4 linked regions of the Arabidopsis thaliana genome follow. The protein of the gene in region 1 interacts with the protein of each later gene in a pairwise test. Each region holds a gene or a part of one and is shown on either strand. Other genes may lie near its edges. The genes, in order: ATB' DELTA, AT1G76600, AT1G21010 and RECA3.

Evidence for each region.
Region 2: the proteins of ATB' DELTA (region 1) and AT1G76600 interact in a two-hybrid assay, tested with the Arabidopsis thaliana proteins (one large-scale study listed by BioGRID).
Region 3: the proteins of ATB' DELTA (region 1) and AT1G21010 interact in a two-hybrid assay, tested with the Arabidopsis thaliana proteins (one large-scale study listed by BioGRID).
Region 4: the proteins of ATB' DELTA (region 1) and RECA3 interact in a two-hybrid assay, tested with the Arabidopsis thaliana proteins (one large-scale study listed by BioGRID).

Annotation. Positions count from the first base shown.
Region 1 is NC_003074.8:9,514,333-9,520,679, reverse strand, and holds ATB' DELTA (serine/threonine protein phosphatase 2A 55 kDa regulatory subunit B prime delta), read right to left. Parts: upstream 3,728-6,347; 5' UTR 2,940-3,727; coding exon 1,812-2,939; intron 1,726-1,811; coding exon 1,420-1,725; 3' UTR 1,117-1,419; downstream 1-1,116. Other genes in the region: AT3G26040 (HXXXD-type acyl-transferase family protein), read right to left, coding at 1-939; AT3G26020 (Protein phosphatase 2A regulatory B subunit family protein), read right to left, coding at 4,095-4,400, 4,604-4,714, 4,926-4,958, 5,091-5,294, 5,382-6,317. UniProt on the Arabidopsis thaliana protein: The B regulatory subunit may modulate substrate selectivity and catalytic activity, and may also direct the localization of the catalytic enzyme to a particular subcellular compartment.
Region 2 is NC_003070.9:28,744,470-28,749,183, forward strand, and holds AT1G76600 (poly polymerase), read left to right. Parts: upstream 1-2,363; 5' UTR 2,364-2,505; coding exon 2,506-3,156; 3' UTR 3,157-3,379; downstream 3,380-4,714.
Region 3 is NC_003070.9:7,344,057-7,348,511, reverse strand, and holds AT1G21010 (poly polymerase), read right to left. Parts: upstream 2,357-4,455; 5' UTR 2,274-2,356; coding exon 1,641-2,273; 3' UTR 1,229-1,640; downstream 1-1,228.
Region 4 is NC_003074.8:3,132,567-3,138,465, reverse strand, and holds RECA3 (RECA homolog 3), read right to left. Parts: upstream 3,594-5,899; 5' UTR 3,483-3,593; coding exon 3,420-3,482; intron 3,225-3,419; coding exon 3,161-3,224; intron 3,085-3,160; coding exon 2,867-3,084; intron 2,758-2,866; coding exon 2,670-2,757; intron 2,444-2,669; coding exon 2,271-2,443; intron 2,194-2,270; coding exon 2,047-2,193; intron 1,946-2,046; coding exon 1,811-1,945; intron 1,679-1,810; coding exon 1,397-1,678; 3' UTR 1,049-1,396; downstream 1-1,048. Other genes in the region: PAP16 (purple acid phosphatase 16), read left to right, coding at 1-406, 493-661, 746-964; AT3G10130 (SOUL heme-binding family protein), read left to right, coding at 5,308-5,548, 5,630-5,719, 5,800-5,870.

The sequences.
Region 1 (6,347 bases):
CGAAACCAAAGTTTGAAGCTTTGTTTGGTTTATTCCTTCCTCTGCTTTTGCTGCAAAGTAGCTCACTAGATTCCCTATTGAGTTCTTTGTAAATGGTGGAGAGACTCGTGAGCGTAGACTCACGGAGTTTGCCAGAATTGACGGTTTCGATGTTCCTGAAACTGTTCTTGTAGCTTTCATTGCAGATTTCCATATAAGAGCTGAAACAGCTTCGACTCTTGTTGGTTGATTCACTTCAAAGCTTGAAGCTTTCGCTTGCAGAGCTTGAATACTCGAAGAATCGAATATGAATCTCTTCGAAAGAGTCTGATTCATCATGATCTCTGGCTCAACCACTGGTGCAGGGGAAGTCTCAGAGAAGTTTCCAGGTGGGAAGATCTTAACCGTGTCGAAAACCGGAGCTCCAATGGTTTTGATCGACCCTCGGGACGAGATTGCAGCCCAGCTCTTCATGAATAAACCGATAGAAGTTGCGTCAGCGAGTTTATGAGAGATACAAACTCCTATAGACATGCTTCCACATTCAAAGAAACTCGCTTGAGCAAGAAGCAGTCTGGTTCGTGTCTCTATGGAATCAACAGATGTAGGAATCAGTTGTTGCAAGCTGTCAGAAGAAGGCTCTAGTAGGAGATTCGAAAGCGGTGAATTGACTCGTGCTTCGAGGAAATCAGCGCCTGAGTCATTACAATCGATACTTATGTTGCCTTTGAGCCGTCCAGCGAGAGGGTAGAAATGAGTTAAAGTTTCGGATAACGACTTCTTCAGCATCTGCAATTGCTCAGTTGGTTTGATGCTGTTGTTAGCTGAATAGAAGAAAACCATAGGACCAAAGATCGTTGGACCGAGCTGTTCTAAAAGAGAGAGTTTAAACTTCTTTAAGTGGTTTGGAGTTGGAGATGATGGTTTGATGATATCTCTGGAGACAACATCAACTCTCATCTGGTGAAACCTCCTGACGAAAAACCGACTAAGAGTCATCGCAGAGAGCTTTTCTTCGGTTTCTTGGTTAGAAGAATAAACCTGTTGTAACAGAACCTTTTAACAGACAAAATCCAAAGATACTTGCAGGAAAATGCCAACAGATCCTCTGTATACTAAAGGACGAAATCATTATTCCAGAAACAATTTTTATATTAGAGCAATCTCTTTCACTGATAAACTAAGTGACTTCAGACAATAGAAAATTCGTGTTTTCATAACAAGATGTTTACATGAACCAAGTATACAGACAAATCAAGAACTGAAAAAGGTAAAATCTCACACTGTTTAACTGAATTAAACTAGTCTTAAAGTCGAAACCAGATACTTAAATGAAGCAAGCAAAGCAAAGTAAATGTATATACCTTTCAGGCGTAAAGGAAACAAAACAAAACAATAAACCGATTTCTTGTTGAATCACGTAAAGTGCAGAAAAAACTCTTACTTCGCCATTGAAGCAACAATCTCCTCTAGCTGTCTCCAGGTTTCTCCATTCTTCTTTTTAGTATCTTCTGCTTTTTGCTGATCTTCTTGGAACTTGTGCAAACATTCTTCGAATAAATCAGGATTTGTATCGGACAAAACCTTGAGAACATTCTCTGTCAAGTTCTTCACAGCCTGATTCCAATGGCTGCTACCGTTTTTCTCCAAAGCGGGAAACACTATAGGTAAAATGATTCTACTGTTCTGTCTCACTAAATTAGTGACATGATCGTTGTTCCATAAGTATAAAGCCCGTTCCGCTACCTAAAAACACAGAAGCAGTTGAATTTTATGAACAATTCAAGAATCTAAGAATCAGGTAAATGTACCTAATAAACTCTTAACTGTACCTGAAAGTGAGAACTGCTCAAGCACTGAGCAATTTGGCGAGAGAGCGGAACCATACACCGTTCAAACTCTGTTAATTGAGTTGCTTCTAGTATCTCCTCCAATTCATTCAAGAACATGATTTCTTTAGCGCTATTAGTAACAGGCCAGTACTTCAACATCCCTCTAATAACGGTATCCGCGAGCTTACAATCTTTCTCAACAAACTGTATAACGCAGTAAGAAAGCTGTTGATGGTAATTTGGTAAGCATTTCAGCTTGTGCAGAGGAATCAAGACACGAGTAAGAAAGAGCTTGTGTTCTTCCTTGAGTGGTAAAGCGAATCCATTGATGATGGATCCTAAAACTTCAAGAAACTCGGCGATTCCCGAGTGTTTCCCTGTCTCGAATATAAAATCATACAAGATGTTGTTCATAGTTTTCCTGATGAACGGGCGATGAACCATAAACCTCCCGTAGATGCGGTGAAGTATCGTTTTCAGATACTCTCTTTCCCTCGGATCTTCAGAATCAAACAAATCCAATAGCTTGAGAACGAATGTATGATCGATGTATTTCTTGGATATCTTGGGGTCTGTGTTGGGAGATGCAACGATTCTCAAAAGGAACTCATAAACAATCTGCAAGTGAGGCCAAGAAGGATTCAAAGATCCTTCTTCTTCTTCCAAATCCAATGCCTCAGGAGTTTTGTTCTTCCATTGTCGATGAGGATTACTAAAGAGATTCGCCGAAATCATCTTGGTAGCTTCTTGAATAACTGATTCAGGGAACTTGCCATTCCCTGAAGAGATAACATAATCCACAACTTCAAGAAGTGTTTGCCTTTTGATCTCTTTCTCCTTGAAGTTCTGTTGAGGCTCAGCTACAAAATCAAACACTAGACAACATAGTCTAAGCTTCTTAAGAAACAGTTCTTGCTTCTCAGAGATGGAAACATCTCTCAACCTTGGCAATACATCAAAAGAAGAAACACAATCCAAACTAGTATCTCCATTTGATGACGTTCTCTGGCTTAAAACTTCATCACCTCCTCCTTGATTGTTGTTGTTATCTAGAGTTTGGGATTCACCATTATCCCAAAACTTAGCAGAAGTTTTCTTAGGAAGCTTCCCAAGTATCTGCTTAAACATCTTCTTCGATCTATTTAGTCAAACTTCCTCAAACTCAGATCAGATTCTTCAAAAACAGATCTCAGAAACTAAAAACCCGAATTGAAGAAAGATAGTGAAACACTCCTAAGATCATCTCACCACGCATAAGAACAACTCTTGTGAACATAATAGATCTCGAGAGATTATGAATCATCCAGACAAAAGCAAAAGACGAAAAGCAGACAAAACCATGACCCAGAAGGTAAAATAAAAAAAAGGTAGTAACTTTATATCATGAATGAAGCGCGTGAATCGTTTCTGGACCCAGATAGCAAGATCTAGATTGATGAATCATAGAAAGAAGCAAACTTGGGTCAAACCCAAGTAATCTAAACAATCGAAGAAGAAGAAGAAGAAGAAGAAGAAGGAAAGGGTTTAGCTTTTCATAGCTATTGCTTCGTTGGCATAGAGAAGAAGAGAGAGAATGGATAAAGATTAGAGAGTAAAGAGAGAGAGAGATAGAAAGAGAGGATGGTGACTGAGAGAAGACCCTAAGACCAGAGAAAATTTTCACTGACCAAGACAAGAAACAACATCTCTCGACAGTGTTTTTTTAGTTGAAGTCATAACCATTAAAAGATTCAAATCCAACCACTAAACCGATCTCTCCATGAAGATCTTTTCAGAGTTCCTCCTAGACTTATGGAGTTCGTAACCAAATCCACAAACCCAAAATACTCAAACCAACAATTTGGTCTTCTCTCTTTGAGTTTCTGTTGAAAACTTAAAAAAACTTTTTTTAAAAGGTGTTTTTTTGCTTATAAAGATACGATTTTTTTTCTGATACAACTGAAAATACAAAAGGCCAAATCCTATAAGTGCAATATTTGCAGGTATCATGAAAGCAGAAGATGAATGAATAAGACAAGTCTCAAGAAAGTGGAACAAGTGATGATCATACAATGTAGCAAAAATAACCCATTTTAACAAGCAGGAAGATTTAAGAGGAAACAAGAAATAAAAATAATGGAAATCAAAACAGGAACAATCTTACATCTTTGAGTTTCCTTTTTCCTTCAAACCAAGAGACCAATATGAAACTTTTCTCTTCTCAAGTATGTATCTGAAGAACAACATGTCAATAGAAGATACAGAAGCTCTCTTTCTCTCTCTTTCTTCTCTACAACTCTAACTTTATGAAGCCTTTCGCACTCCGAGTTCTTCCAAACGTTTCCAAGTGGCTTCACGTTTTGCTTCGGTTTCAGCTGCTTTTGATTCATCTTCCTTGAACTTTGCGAGGCATTCTTTAAATAACTCAGGGTCAAGGTCATGAAATATCTTTCGCACGTTTAGTGTCAAGCTATGAACAGCTTGGTTCCAATGTTTCTGTGCGTTTCTCTCCAACGCTGGGAATATAATTGGAAGAATGACTTTACGGTTTTGCATTATCAGATTCTCAATGTGATTGTTGTTCCATAAGAATAAAGCTCTCTCTGCAACCTGCGAAAACCAGACAGAGCATGAATAGACTGAAACAAAGATCCTGAACCTACTAGACTGATCTTTTCCCGTGAAAGATCGTATGCAGTCACTGTTTAGCCAAAACAGATACCCTTCAACGCAATACTTTTTCTTCTTTTGTAACTTTCTACTTAACAATAGCCTTACTATATCAATTTAGCTTAGAAATTGCCTTGAGTAACACCTAGAGCTGAATATAACAGTCCTAAACATTGATACTTTCCATACCGCAAAATCAACTCTTCCATTTGCTCGTTTGATATAACTGGTAGGCTATAACGACTTCTCATAAGCTGGTAAGGTAACACAGATATACTGGCGAAACACTAACACAATTAAAGTATGTAACCATAAGCCTTATTTAGCTAAGAAACTGCATCAGATATTATCCAGAACACAATACAACAGTCCTATACGTAGATACTTTCATTACCACAAACCCAACTCTTTCATTTGATCTTTTTATATAACAATCTAATAGGCTAACATAAACAGGTGAAACACTAATGCAGTTAAAGTATGTCGAAACGATATGGCCTGCAAATGTCAAACCCAACACTAACAGCAACAGAGCATTTTTCAGGAAATGTCAAAGCACGGGGAAATTCGCCAGTTTAAAAACAAATGTGAGGTGCTATTATTTCAGAAAGAATGGAGAATGACAGGTACCTGAAAATGCAGACTGTTCAAACATCGAGCTATTTGGCGAAACAGTGGTACCATGCACCGTTGAAATTCTGGTGGCTGAGTTGCTTCGAGTACTTCCTCCAACTCGTTCAGAAACATGACTTCTTTGGAACTGTTTGTCACGGGCCAATATTTCAACAATCCTCTTATAACCGTATCAGCAAGTTTGCAATCCTTTTCCACAAACTGTGTGATACAATAAGACAATTGTTGATGATACATTTGCAAGCATTTTGGTTTGTGGAGAGGTATCAAAACTCGAACAAGAAACACTTTGTGCTCGTCTTTCAAGGGAAGAGCGAATCCATTGATGATACTTCCCAAGATTTCTAGAAACTCAGCAATCCCATTATGTTTCTCTGTTTCGAAAACAAACCTATAGAAGATGTTGTTAATGGATTTCCTGATGAAAGGTCGGTGTACCATAAATTTACCATAGATCCGATGGAGAATGGTTTTCAGACAATCTCTTTCTCTAGGATCCTCGGAATCAAATAAATCCAGTAACCGCAAGACAAAAGATTGATCTATATATCTCTTAGCCAGCTTGGTGTCAGTTTCAGGCGAAGCAACAAACCTCAAGAAAAGCTCATACACAAGCTGCAAGTGAGGCCACGCAAGATCCATGGAAGGTTCTTCCTCCTCCAGGTCTAAGGCATCGATAACTTTATTTTCCCGTGGTTGAGGATTTAGCGTTCTAAATATGTTAGCAGAGACCATCCGAACGACTTCTTGGATACCGACTTCGCTAAACTTTCCATTAGGAGAATTCACATAATCCACAAGCTCCAGCAATGTCTGCCTCTTAATATCTTTTTCCTTGATGTTCTTTGTAGGATCCGTGAAATCAAACACTACACGGCACAAGTTCAACTTTTTAATGAACAAGTTTTGCTTTTCCGTGTTTGGAACATCTTTAAAACTCGGCAATGCTTCATAAGGAGTAAAGACACCGTTGTTGTTGTTGTTGTTGTTGTTCCCACTACTCTTTAGATTCCCATCTTTAAAACCCGAGTCAGAAGCAGCGGATTTGCCGGCTGGAGAAGCGTTCTTAGCATGCGATTTCGCGGCGCCATTATCAGTGCTTTTGGAAGTAGAGGCACCTGAAGTATGAGAAGATGAAGAAGAATGGCCACCGTGTTCACGTCCACGATGTTCGTGCTTTGAAGACTTTTTGTTGGGAAGCTTACTTAGAATCTGTTTCCACATAGTTTCTTATTCTCAACACCAGAACAATTC
Region 2 (4,714 bases), on another chromosome or scaffold:
AATCACTCGGATGATTGGATTATAGATTCGAGTATTTTTGTAATGGGGTCGGGGGATATTAAGCATTAAATACTAATGTAGTTAGTTAGTTCATATTAGTATTAACGGCTGAACACGTGAACGCTTCTTTCTTTTTGCATGGCCTGCGAAACCTTTTTCGACTTTACTCGGTTCGATGGTAATAACTAAATGCGTACGGTGTTCCCTAGCATTCAGCTTCGGACTTTATTAACATAATTCAATTGGATATTATCCTGTATATAGTTTAAGTTTTTGAATAGTTTATCAATTCCCATTATATTATAGTGATGGAAATATAATACTAAGATGCAATGATAAAGTTACTTAATCAATTAAAATGTATTCTTTTTTTAGCGAATTATTGAGAAGCATATTTTAAATACAAATGTCAAAAGTACATAATTAATCTAATCCAAACACATGTTTATAGTTGCACATTAAGTAATGTTATGACAGCGAAGTGACAGAAAACCTATGATTACATAATCATTTATGTTAAATAGACTTACTAAAATAATCATCGGCTTTATTAACTAAATACACTACTCCGCAATGGGGAAAGATTTTTCTTTTTTGAAAAAGGGGTTTCAGCAATGGGGAAACTTTTGAAGTTTAATACATAAAGTTCATTTTCCACTAAAAAGTCCTTTCTATTTCATATATACATATACAAGGCAGCATGAGTAAGGTGATATTTTTTAATAAGAACTACATTGGTAAAGTAGAATAGTAGATTGCAGTTGAGTTGTTTCCTGTGAATTGGATAATTAATATTAGAATCATAAGTATATATACGTCCTAACTACTTACATGCATGATACTGTCTAATTGGTATTCGAATTTTAAATTTGTCTCATATATATATTTTATAATAAGGTGAAATCTATTGAACAAAAAATGTTACCGGTAAGTGAAAATAAGATAAAGGCTTATGGAAATATCTTCCAGATTTACAAGGAAAAAAATAAGTGAAATTAAAGCATTTTTACAGTTTTACAAGTTGTAATGTTCATCAATCATCACTATGACACTATCCATGAAATGTGAAAGATGTTCCATAAGATCGATTGTTATATAAATTCGACTCAACTCAAAAACAGAACCTAACTTTACTCAAAAATACTAGTATTTTGTATATTTAAATATCATTACGACTGTACTAGGAAACACACAACCTTGAAAATAGCATTTCGTTATACATAAAAGTCATTGATTTGATCATTTGCGTTTCTTTGTACCACTAGCTTTATCAAATAGTATTTGCATGATGATAGTCAAATACAAGTTGCTGTGGTCTTTCACATTTTTAAAAAGGAGAGAAAAAAGGTAGCTGCGGTTTCCTTATTCCCCACGCTTATTTATTTATTGTCTTTGTTTGGTCTCCTTATCGCTAATTTTGAGTCACGTGTTACGGCTGAGAGCTTCGAAGCCCACGTCATTGCTGACATATCTTCATTCGTACGGATCATGTAATCTGTTAAATTTCCCAAAACGTTTGCTACCTAAACCCGTGAATTATTTGGAAGTCAAACTTCCTCTTTAATTTCGGAAATATTTACAAATTCAGGTCAATCTAATGTATTTCATACAACGAGTGTAAATGTATTATTTTGACAAATTTGCGTATCTTCTAGTTGGGTTGACAATTTAATATACTTTTAGGTCAATTTTGCATAGTAGAGATATGGATAAGAAAGTCTATCTATATACACACGCACATCTACGTATTATAACAACTGTACATCACATTCACACTATATACAGAACATTCATCTAAAACAACCGTATTTATTGTATCCACACGTTTTACTATGGGTGTGTGGTCCTTTTAATTATCAGTTACTATAAATTATAAACAAAATTCCACTAGCTAATCAATATGAAATTACATTTGAGTTTAGAATAGTCAATAGGAAACGATTTAACCAAAATAAAATAACTAATTCAATTTAAATCACTGTTTTTTTTTGTATCCATCAACAATCATATGAACCATTTGACTACATTCTCTGGTCAATTTGAATTGGTATTTACTACTACTAATAGATACTCTTATACCAATTTAGATAAATAAACTTAATCCTGAGTACGGACTAAAGGACAATTTGTACAGTGAGTTAAAAATAGAAAATTTACCTAACAATACTTTTTAAATCAGTCAAACATTTTTTGACTTTAATAAGAAATAATATTTAATATTGGCCTTGTAAAACAAGACTACTCTCACAACAGTCAACACACACAGCTAAGCATACGCGTCAGCTTCCGGTTTAAACAAAAAAAAACACAAACCGTAATTTGGTTTCCGTTTCTTCCTCTTGTAACGACCGGTTAAATAAAATGCTGACGTCACCATCTTCTTCTATATATATCCTACCTGGAACCAACTCTGTATATACGCGTCCTCCTCTCTCTTCTTCCTCTTGCTATCAATAAATCTCTCTTTCTCTCTACAAACAAAATAACGAGAACTTCAAAAATCAAATGGGTCTTTGTGTATCTGTTAATCGAAACGAGTACGTTTCTTCGTCGACGACGGCTAAAATCGTAACAATTAACGGCGATCTCCGTGAATACGATGTACCGGTGTTAGCATCTCAGGTTCTGGAATCTGAATCGACGTCTTCTTCTTCATCATCATCATCTTCTTCTTATTTTCTATGTAATTCCGATTCTCTCTACTACGACGATTTTATCCCAGCGATTGAATCTGATGAGATTCTTCAAGCGAATCAGATCTATTTCGTCCTTCCCATCTCTAAACGACAATACCGTCTCTCTGCCTCGGATATGGCGGCTCTCGCTGTAAAAGCCAGCGTCGCGATTGAGAAAGCAGCGGGGAAGAAAAATCGCCGTCGTAGAAGCGGAAGAATCTCTCCGGTTGTGACGTTGAATCAGGCTAACGATAATCGGATCGCCGCCGTGAACAACAGAATTGGAGGCGAAGCAACGAATATGATGATGCAAAAAGGAAAGTTACCGAATAGAACGACGCCGTTTAAAGATACAAACGGTTATTCTCGGTCTGGTTCGGTTAGGAAATTGAAAAGATATACGTCTGGTCGAGCTAAATTGGCGGTTCGATCGTTTAGACTGAGACTCTCTACTATATACGAAGGCTCTTCGTTTAATTAGAGCGATTATAAAACTAAGATTACATTCTTTTTGTTTTTGTTGTTATCGTTACGAAAAATGTTTGTGTAATGCTGTTTCAATATGATCTGTAAATTACAGCTTTCACTTTGCTTGTATATTTTCCCATTTTGTTATGTCATGTGTACTTATATTTTATAAGATAGCTTCAAAAATCAAATTTCAGTCACACTGTTGCGTAGTTTCATGAGATTCTATCATACACGTACTTTCTTATGATATATTATTAAATTTTGTTGAAACGATAAGATGAAATTGATCCTTGTAAGTCATGAGTCACCAGTTTGATCGATCCGATGATTGAGTTTATAACATTATTTTTATGTGGATCAGTCTAAGCTCCACTTTAGGAAACATGGTTTTAGACAAATGAAAGTAACAAATAAAAAATATTTCATGAGGAGTCAAGGAGATAATCCTTGTAAATTTCCACAAATGGAACTAAATTGTTAGGGAAAGCTAAAAATAAAAATGACTTGGAGAAAAAGTTTCGAATTTCCATTGTAAAGAGTTTATTTAATGGGTGTGGTGGGATCGGAAAGGAGACCAGTGGAAGCTTTGGCTTCACGGCCAATGGGATTTAACGTTCTAAGTCTATTTTAATCAATTTAAGCTTCAGTCTTTAGACTTTTGATGTAAGATATTTGCAATGTATTAAACTATTAACAAAAGCTTTTTTATAAAAAAATCTCGATATCATTATCCACATCCTGGTTAGTTCATTGTTCAATCAATTAGTTACAATGATACTATTCAGTGCTACTAAAAGAAGTTTGAGTCCAAATGTTAGAATTTAGATCAAAACATGACGTACAAATATAATCTAAAACATATAAATTGTTTGACAAAAATATTTAGTTGTACGTGTTCAAACCAACACATGATACATGTTGATATTTAGTTATTCACTTGTTCTATACACTTTTGTTAGCATAAAGAATAAAATCATTTAATTTAGTTCTTTTTTTGTCAAAAGAATTTAATTTAGATATTACAAATCTTAAAAATTAAAATCAAAACTAATCCACTAATCTTTGATCATACATTGTCCCTCCTCATAAATTAAAGTAAATTAAACCCAAAAAAAAAACGAGATACAAATTCCTGAAAATATTTGGCTCGCACTAGCAAAGTAATCTGCAACGAAAATTCATCTTCTTTTCCTTTGAGGCGCATTGATCTCAATCTCATGACACATCCAAAATAGGGCTATTGAAAAGTCTCGTGGTATATTTTGTCATATTAGTTTTTTTTTTTTTATGGAATTTGTGTGAACCCTTAAGATTCGAAATGGGGCTGCTAGTCCTCCGTGTGACCGGAAAGTCTCCGACAATGACTGGCTGTTTCTGGCGGCGACAACAATAACTAATTTTTCTTCTGATTTCTCGTAAATAATTATGTCACCAACTTATGTACAAGACTCCAAATGAAAATATACTCAAATTTTCCCGATTTGGTCTATATCCCCGAAAATTACAAGTCTACACACGATCGGACCGTTGAATTTGGCCTTACGGGAGGCAACCATTATTATTGCAAT
Region 3 (4,455 bases), on another chromosome or scaffold:
TTTTGGGTACATATCAACGGTCTAAATCTACGTGGCAACATAGACCTATCTCTCTTCTGTACACATTAGTATCTTTTTTTCATTGTCAAATGTACTAACAACATGACTAGAACGGAAAATGCAATAAAACCTTTATGGTAAACAAGAACAGTTTATACACAAATTAGATTCAGTAATCCTAGAAAATAGTATATACTAATATATAACAAAATTCTTATCATACTAATTAGTGGGAGAAAAAAAGAGTCATACCGTATTTATTTCCTTTTAATCAATTACTTCCTAATTTTATATGGTAATAATTACTGAGAAATTAATTTAGTTGTATATTTTTATTTTAGTATATGTATTAACATTGTTATAAAAGAATTGATATAGTTAAGTACACCTCGCCTACATATAACCTGTCATTGTCGGAAATTTGCAAGTCATGTCGGAGGATTTGCTATTTTAGAAGCGAAAAGAAAGAACATTGATATCTTAACGTTCACACCAATTACCAAATAAGCACCCACAATGTTCATATCATCATATGATACCAATACGGCCTCTTTTTTTATAAAACTGTGGTTTCATAGTGCCTAGTGGAATCTATATACTATTCACACCACCTCTCTCAGTTGAATATACTTTATCTATAGAATTCTCTTGATTACATCAGATATTTATTGCTTTTAGTTTATATTGCATGGTCACATACTATTTAATCACTATATTCATTAAACACGAAAGCACAAGTGCACAACTCAACATACAGTATGCTGAAACTACATTTGTAATGCCATAAATAATTCTATGCTAGTAAAAGATCGAGGACTAAGCAAAACTAAGATGACTTATTCAACATCTAATTGACATTATTATTTTTATATAATCAACAACATGCCTTATAAAGATTTGATCATTGGTAATCAACACATCATCGACACATCAAATTGAATCAACGAAAGCAAGTATCATTGATTTTCTAGCTTTTTCGACAATAATAAGTATAAGTAACAAAAAGTTTAAAAGGTTTTTTTTTTGGGTTCTTAAAAATATTATAATCAATAATATAAAACCTTAAGAGAATCTTTATATTTATAATAGAATATAATATCCAGATTATTATAATTAGACTGAAGCCAAGATTTTTGTTTTAGTGAAAATTCCTTGGTTGTGAAGTGAAGCCAAGATTTTTGTTTATTACATTTTCCACCTTAAGTTTTAACATTGAACCGTTCAAATCAAATAGTTGTTCAGTTTCATGAATTTAGCATCGAACTATACTTTTTCACGTAACTTTTTTACATTATATAATCAAAGACAACAAAAAAGATAAGCACATTCACGATTTATATCATCAAATCTTGTAGTGTATATATGGTTGGAAACTTAGGATGGTTAAATTGAGAAACATCATCATTCATATATAAGTTTGTTGGTAAACATATACGATCACTAGTCTATGGTACGTGACCCAAATACACAATCAAAGAAAAAATATACAATGTTTTCTTCATGAAAACTATTTCATCAGTTTATAACAAAACAAAAAAATAATAATTATGCTTCTTCTAATTATATTGTTTCATTTTCATTTTGCTAATTTTATTTGTTCCTCAAAATTGAAAGCAACTTAAGAAAAAAAAAATAACGATCTAAACGACGGAGCCTTCGTAGATGGTTGAAAGTTTTAGCCTGAAAGATCGAACCGCCAGCTTAGCTCGTTTAGAAGTGTATCTTCTCAAATTACGAACCGAACCGGACCGGTTTATCCCACTCGAAGCTTTAACCGGCGCAGTTTTACTCACAAACGGCCGTCCCTTTTTAACTGTCGTTTCACTTCCATTTCCGTTAACGGAATCGTTAGACCCCGTCAACATCATAACCGGAGAGATTCTCACCTTCTTACGCCGACGAGATTCTTTCTTAACAGAGTTTTGTATCGCGACGCTTGCTTTAACGGCGAGAGCCGCCATATCCGACGCCGTTAAACGACTCTGACGTTTAGAAATCGGGAGAACGAAGTAGATCTGGTCCGCCTGAAGCGGCTCTTCCGATTTGATCGCCGGTATGAAATCGTCGTAGTAGAGAGAATCTGAATCGCAGATGAAATATGAAGAAGGTCTAGAGGAAGACGAAGATGAATAAGCTGCCGCTGATTCAGCTTCCAAAACTTGAGATGCTATCACCGGAACATTGTATTCACGGAGATCGCCGTTAACCGTCACGATCTTCACCGTCGGTGAAGAATTTGAATCTTCCCGACGAAACGACACACAGATTCCCATTTTTGATTGAGATAACAAATTTGAAATCTAGAGAGAGAGAGAGAGGGAGTGGAGAAGATTCACGAATGTTGATACGACGCGTCGAGAGAGTCGGTCATGGTGGGGTTATATATAGAAGACGGGTGATAAAACCGGGTGATTAAATTGAAATTAGATAACCGGTTACGGTTTAATGTTTTGAACCGGTTGTTAACATGTAGTTTTTGTTTGTTGTCTGTCCATTAGTAGATTTTTGTCACGCATAGTAAAAGGACATATATAATGTTTCCTTAGTTAAACCTTCTAATTACATTTCGTTTTCATGACCTAATTACTCCGAATTATTTATTTATCTTGTTGGGTTATTTGTTACTATATAGTGTTATGTATTTTTTAATCTTTCATTGTATTTACATATTCTAAAGATCTTTCTGATTTTTAACTTTCTATTTCGAAGGATTTTTTTCATATATCAAAAGAAAGTTTTCAATCAAGGCAATTATATTCACACGCTTATACAGATTCTAAATATATTTAGAAAAATTAATTATATAAGTTGTGGTCATGTACATGTATGAGTGTGTATGCGTATCGATATTTTATTTTCTTTGAATGAATATTGCTCTTAATTATGGTTACTCTGTATCATTCAAATTTAATTGGATATATCTCTAAAGAACCATATTTATACGTTAAGTACTATGTGATCATGCATGTCAATTTCACTATAACTCACTGTAATCTATCAAAATTAATGACCTTTATCGAAAAAGACTATAGTCTATCAAACGTGATTAGTTTCGAATTTCACAATATTCTCTTGTGCTCCAGATTAAATCCATATACAAAGACTATAATCTATCAAACGTGATTAGTTTCGAATTTCACAATATTCTCTTGTGCTCCAGATTAAATCCATATTTGATATATGGATAGTTATTTTAAAAAATCTGAAGATCCATTTCTCACAGTTTATAACACATTAAAAAGAAAACTATACAAATAAAGATGCTAGAGTTATGGAAGCATGTAATTGTGATTTAGTGCATCTCTTCATTTATTTTATAGCATGCTTTATGTTTTCTTATTTTAATAAAGTTTGAAGCCGATAAACTATAAATATATGCAAAATATCCAAATCCAAATTTGATCGTTCATTACATAATTGCGGTGCAAACGAGGATTTCTCTCAATCCATATGACATAAATTGTTGCTCACTAGTCACTACCACCCCAATTGTATGATAGAGTCTTTGTAAACATATATATGTACTTTGTAAGGCTTGGAACGCATGAAGGCACGGGCCTCAGCTACAAAGCAAAGGAAGGAGACATCAACAACATCACATTCCAAATTTATGGTATTTGGATACTAAAAGGTAAAATGAAATAATTTTAAAAATCATTAGGGAGTTTGTTTGATGAAATTGTAATCAAGCGTGTATGTTAGCAAAACATCGGAAATAAAGAGAGAAAAAGATCAGCAATGTGAAAGCGAAATCAGCAACGACGTGGCACGCACCACGCGGCTCCCAGTAGTCAAAACACATAACAAGTGGCCTGTTAAACTCTAAATATCGCAACTTGTATTTGACTATAACGTACAATTGAACTAAACGGTATTTTAATTTACCCATGCAGATTTTATTATTGAAGAAATATCATAATTTTACTAGTTTCATGCAGTTTATCAACTAAGGCTCCGAATGGTAATTGTATTTTGCGATGCAGGAGAAGTGCGGTTCGGTTCAAATAGTAACAAAAATACATAGATACATATGAATATGTAGAGATTTTAATATTGTTACAACACTGTTGCAGTACGGTTTTGGGTGCGGTTTTGATTATCATTAACAGCCTAAATAGTGTTAATACAATCAGAGAGCATAAACTATATAATGTACTACTGTTATTGTTTATTAACTTACTAGCTTTTCAACTTTTTGGCGGCAGTTTAATTTATTAATTTGGGTTGGACCTTTAGAAACAACTCACTAAATGAAAGGAAATAGGGGAATTATATTAGAGCAAATTAAGAAATTACTAAAAATTATAATCTAAACTAGTAAACAATATAATACGGAAGAAATATATTTTTTTTTTCTGAAAATTAAAGAAGAAGAAAAATTATGTTCTCTTTCCACCGGGCCGAGTAAACTCGAACGGGTCGCATGACATGCATATGACAAACCGGCTTCACATG
Region 4 (5,899 bases), 6.4 Mb from region 1:
CTACAAGAGACAGAGGCATTCCATGGGCTACTCTCTTTGGTAACCATGACGATGCTTCTTTTGTTTGGCCTTTGGATTGGTTGTCTTCCTCCGGTATTCCTCCCCTTCGTTGCCCTGCAGCATCAGATGATGATGGATGCACGTTCAGAGGAACTACGCGAGTGGAACTGATTCAGGAAGAAATAAAGTCATCCAATGCACTCTCATACTCCATGATTAGTCCTAAGGAGCTATGGCCAAGCGTATCTAACTATGTCCTTCTTGTGGAATCATCGGATCATTCGAAACCACCCGTGGCATTGCTATATTTTCTTGATTCGGGCGGTGGTTCATACCCGGAGGTTATCTCAAATGCTCAAGTGGAATGGTTTAAAACCAAGTCTAATACTCTTAATCCCTATTTAAGGTATGAACCAAAACATTAAAGCTTTTTTGGTGGGAAAAACTCGATCATTCGCTAAGTCGATATCGAAAGATGTATATTTCGGGCAGGATCCCGGAGTTGATATTTTGGCACATACCTAGTAAAGCATACAAGAAAGTAGCTCCAAGGTTATGGATAACAAAACCTTGCGTTGGATCAATCAACAAAGAGAAAGTTGTTGCTCAAGAAGCTGAAAATGGGATGATGAGAGTTCTTGAGAACAGATCCTCCGTTAAGGTACTAATTATTAAACACGAAATTGCTTAACACTTAGATACTGGTTTGATATAACTTTAATGAACTATATTTTTGTGTAAGTAGGCAGTGTTTGTAGGACACAACCATGGACTAGACTGGTGCTGTCCGTACAAAGATAAACTCTGGCTTTGCTTTGCGAGACACACAGGTTATGGTGGATATGGAAATTGGCCAAGGGGATCAAGGATTTTGGAGATTTCTGAAATGCCCTTTCGTATTAAGACCTGGATTAGGATGGAAGATGGATCTGTCCACAGTGAAGTTAACCTAACATATGATTAGTCTATTTATCACATATGTCAAACTTTGTAGAAGTAATAGTGCCTATAGTTGTTGGTAGGTTTGGTCACTGTAAACTTGTTAAGTGACAAGAAAAACTGCTTTCCATAAGCCAATAAATGAACTGATGATTGGTTCAAGACAAAAGGAAAGAATGCTTGATAAAACGGTTCAAACCCATTAAGGAAACCGGAATCTCTGCAGTATACATGATGGAGAATCTCTAACAAGAACAATGACTATGATGATATCATCTAATGACAACCAGCTTTTGCACATCTTCTCTGATCCTCCTTTTAGTTAGCATTCCCTAACTGCTTCTGTCCCTTCCACGTTGTTTAATAGGGACGTCAGGGTTGATGAAAAGCTCAATTGGTTTTTGGCTTTATCGAAACATACACATTTGTTTGGAGAACTCGAAATACATTCCCTCTGTCACATCTTGAAGAGCTGGTTCCTCAGGATTGCAACGACAGTATCGAGAGCCTCTTTATTTTCCACCAGATACTTCTCAGCTGCGTCTTTCCCTTCAATGACCTCGCCTTCAATGAAATAGCTAGTTCCTTCTCTTAAGATAACTCCATGCTCACAAGCCAATTCTAATACCTCTCGCTCCACGTAGAAACCATGACCAAAGTGAATCCCCAATTCAGATTTCTTCTTTCCGGGCGCCAGTTTATTCTTCACCACTTGGACGCAGACATTGAGACCACTTATCTGAGGAAACAAAGCAATCAAATGATAATAAAGATGTTACTGCCCTTCGCAGAAATTATGCATTATTTTAGAGATTAAGGCAAATCAAGCTTACAGTAACACGTACAATGGTAACAATGTGCCTAACTATACCTTATTGGCAGTCTTTATTAGCCCGGTTCTTATCATTTTGAGACGTATAGCTGCATGAAACGGTAATGCGTTTCCTCCACAAGTCACTTCTTCGGCGTGCGGGAAATGCATGTTAGATTTCACATGTGATCTGACCTGGATCAGGTAAATAAGCAGAGAGATATTATCTTTGGTAGGTGGGTCAATACGATCCAACTAAGTGAGCAAAAGAAAGTAAACCGTGATATTTCCTTTACCTGATTAAGAAAAACGATCAGTGTCTGAGAATAGCCAACTGAGTAATGGATTTTTCTGAGCGCCTGTGTCATTATTCTTGATTGTGTGTCTCTGTATCTTTCTCCTACAGGAGCATCAAGTTCACATTGAGGGGCAAGAGCAGCAACCTGTAGATTCCACTTTTAATATTAACAGATGCAGAAAGAATATATGAACATATTGAGATGAAAGAATGAGAACTCACACTGTCTACCACAATTACGTCTACTGACCCACTCTTGGTCAGCACATCAACAATATTTAGCATCTTTTCAGCAGAACTAGGTCGTGATATCAGAAGCTCTTCTGTGTTCACACCTATTGATTCTGCTAGAGAAGGATCCATGGCATTCTCTGCATCAAGATAAGCGCAATAACCTGGCACAAACAAGTCTTTTAGATAAATAAAAAGCTAATGGAGTGAAGAACAAAAGCAAGTCAGAATCAAACTGTAACTTCACAAAATCGAATCTTACTTATCGCACTAGAAACAAGAAAGGAAAAAGTAGAAGATATGTGTCCCCAACTTAGGATGGATTCTAGTAACAAGTCCCAAGGTTTCTGTTCAAACAAATGTATTGAGAATGGGATTCAAGAACAGTACCTCCAAGCTTTTGAGCTTCCTTGATGATATGCAGAGCTAGAGTTGTCTTTCCAGATGCTTCTTTTCCGTAAACCTCAACCATTCTTCCCTACACAAAAACCAACAAAGTTCTCTTGTAAACACACATTTAGAGACCTCATTAATTGCAATACCTTTAGCTTGGCTAGTCCTATCTGAGACTCTAAATTAACAACAACCTTTGGCAATCCTCCAACTCCAAGAGCTAGATCAAGGTTGAGGGAACCCGTGGATATCACAGAAACTCTCCTTTTTCTGTAAAACCGCTGCAATGACAACTTAGAGTCTTTATCAAAATCACCTGAAAGCTGTGACAATGCTAAATGTAGAGCAGTGTCTTTCTCCGCTACTTTTCTATCATCTGGAACTTCATCAAGTTCACAATCTGAAGCTTCAACTGACCAAACGAAACACACTCATAAAGACAGGATACAGAGTATGGAAATCAAAAGACAAAGGAAATTAGTGATTACCTAAAGACGAAAGATAACGATTTTCATAGCCAGAGCAAGCCAAAACGCTTCTTCTTCCATTCAGCTACAAAGCAAGATAAGAGTAAACACAAGAGACATTTGTTTAGTCAGGAGCTTGGGCAAATCATCAATGCTACTCTAAAGGAGATAACTTTATTTTGGTTGGAGTGTTGTCCTAATTTCTTCATCTGAAAAATAAAATCTTTCTTTCTTATACTCAAGCTAAGAATTGTTGAGAAACATTAGAGACGAAGAGAACCTGAGATAAGTAAGAGAAGAAACGGAATCTCTGAATCGGACTGGCCCATGAGAGTCGACCCATGCCCCGTTCTTCTTCAAGCGGCTCCTCCTTCGCTGTTCAGTTTCAATTCCACAGTTGTGTCTTCTCCTTTTCTACTAACGATCTCCAGTTTCCGCCATGGTCATTGTCCTTAAGAGGTAAGACCTGAACCAGAAGTGGATACATAAAAATCGAAAACCGTATTAAACCGATCGGTTCATGGCTAATGGAATCTAATTTAACGGTTTGATATGAGGACCGGAAAAGAGGTAACAATTTAAGGGAGGTGTAACTTTAGTCTTTTTTTTTTTTTTTTTTTTTTTTTTTTTGTGTGTAACTTTAGTCTTATCCCGAACATTTTGCTCAAATAAGATTTTATTTTTCTATATAATAATAAATCTGAGAAGATAAATCCCTAAATTAAGATTGTTCATGCGTGGAGCATAACCTAAAGGTCTAAGAATGTGGAGTGCAAATTCAATAATGAAATTGTTGGTTCTCTTGCTTTTGGTGGACGCTTCATTAATATTGAATCGTATCCTAAGCATGAAAACATATCCAACACATAATTCCGAGGTTTTCCAAAGCAGACGCTTCATTACGTTTGACTTACGTACACTAACTGGTGATAACCAGCGAAGCGGTGTGGATCCTGCTTGCATACCAAAATCAAAATGTGATGATAGAGTGATGGAAATAGGTAATACTCCAGATTATCACAGTAGTAAGTTCATTGATTTGTTGGCACATCTTTAAACTTGTAAGCTTTTTATAATTACTTTATTTTGTAGGTATATGGAGGAGACCGCGTACTCTTTACAGACCTAAAAAGTTCGACCACGAGATTCATGACGAAGAAGAATTATGAAGTTGTTGGTGCTATTTTCTTAAATTTTTTGGCGATTGGTTTTGGTGTTAATTATCATCATTTTAATGTATTAGTTTGTTTTTATTTGCGGAATATCATATGATTAATTAGATGGCCCGAAACGTCTGGTACGTAAGAGTAAGAAGATATGAAAGCTAGGTGGAGTCTTGTGCTATTGACAAGTTCTCGACCCTTGTAAAGTTGTGCTCCTCCTTCATAATGCCGTAGAGACTAACACACAAACTGCTATTTGGGAGATAAAAACGAAAAGAGGAAACAACAAGGCTAAGCGGTAATGTCCAATAGGATCCATTCAACTTCATTAATGTGAGATAATAATATTTTTTTAATTAAAAACTGTTACATTATTTAGTCGTATCCCGAATATTGTGTTCAATCTTACGAGGAAAACGTCGTTAACCCTAGTCCAAAGCGTTTACGAAAAATAAATGGGAGCTTCTTCTTCGCTTTATAAAAAGTACTAAATAAAGACTGAAAAGATATAGAAATCCCTAAATATTGATTGTTCCTGCGTCTCCGAGCATAATGTAGGTGTTTCTAACAATGTGGAGTGTATATGCATGCAACGGCGAAATTGCACTTCTCCTTGCTTTTTTGATGGATGCTTCACTGGGTCGACATTACGTTTTAAATGTATCGAAAGCCTAGCTAGTTACATAATCACACTCTTTGCAGTAATAAACCCAAAGTTTTTCCGACATATCTTCTTCACAAACATCACATATGAACTTTGCACCGGTGTGTTGTAGAGAAGAGTGAGTGGATGTTCGTCATCTTCCCGCTCCACAGTCTCAGGGGCCTTTGTGGACTTAAAAAAATAAATAAGTGAAATTCCAAAGGGAGATAATTAAAAATCGATTTGGTATGAGAAAAATCTACCGGTATGGTATGAGAGAACCAAAATCGAGCGGTCGTTAATAATTAGAACGAAAACAGAACAAAGAGAGAACGAAAACAGAACAAAGATTGCGAAGAGAAATGATGATGATCAGCTCCTCCTCCATTACATCATCCCTTTCTCTTCTGTCTTCATCTCCTGAGAAATTGCCCCTCATAAACCCTATCCAGAGATGCCCAATTACTTACTCCGGCTTCAGAACGGCGAGCGTGAACAGAGCTATCCGGCGGCAGCCGCAGAGTCCAGCCGTGTCCGCCACTGAATCTAGGGTTTCTCTCGTCCTTGCTCTCGCCTCTCAAGCTTCCTCTGTCTCTCAACGCCGTAAATGTTCCGTCTTTTCTCTTGCCGGATTTTGTTTTGGTTTTTGTATCTGCTGAATTTTCATTGTCAATTTAATTGTAGTTTTGGCTGATTTGGCGATGGAGACTGCGAAATATGTGTTTCCCAAGAGATTTGATAGCTCTACTAATCTTGAAGAAGCTTTCATGTCTGGTTAGTTTTTAGCTTAATCTTCTTTAGCTCTGTGTTATTCACTTTTGTAGTAACTTAAAACCTTTGATTTTTCTCTCTAGTTCCGGATCTCGAGACAATGAACTTTAGAGTTCTATTTAGAACAGACAAGTACGAGATTAGACAAGTTGAGGTTGTTCTTAATTTCTCTACGTTGGTCCT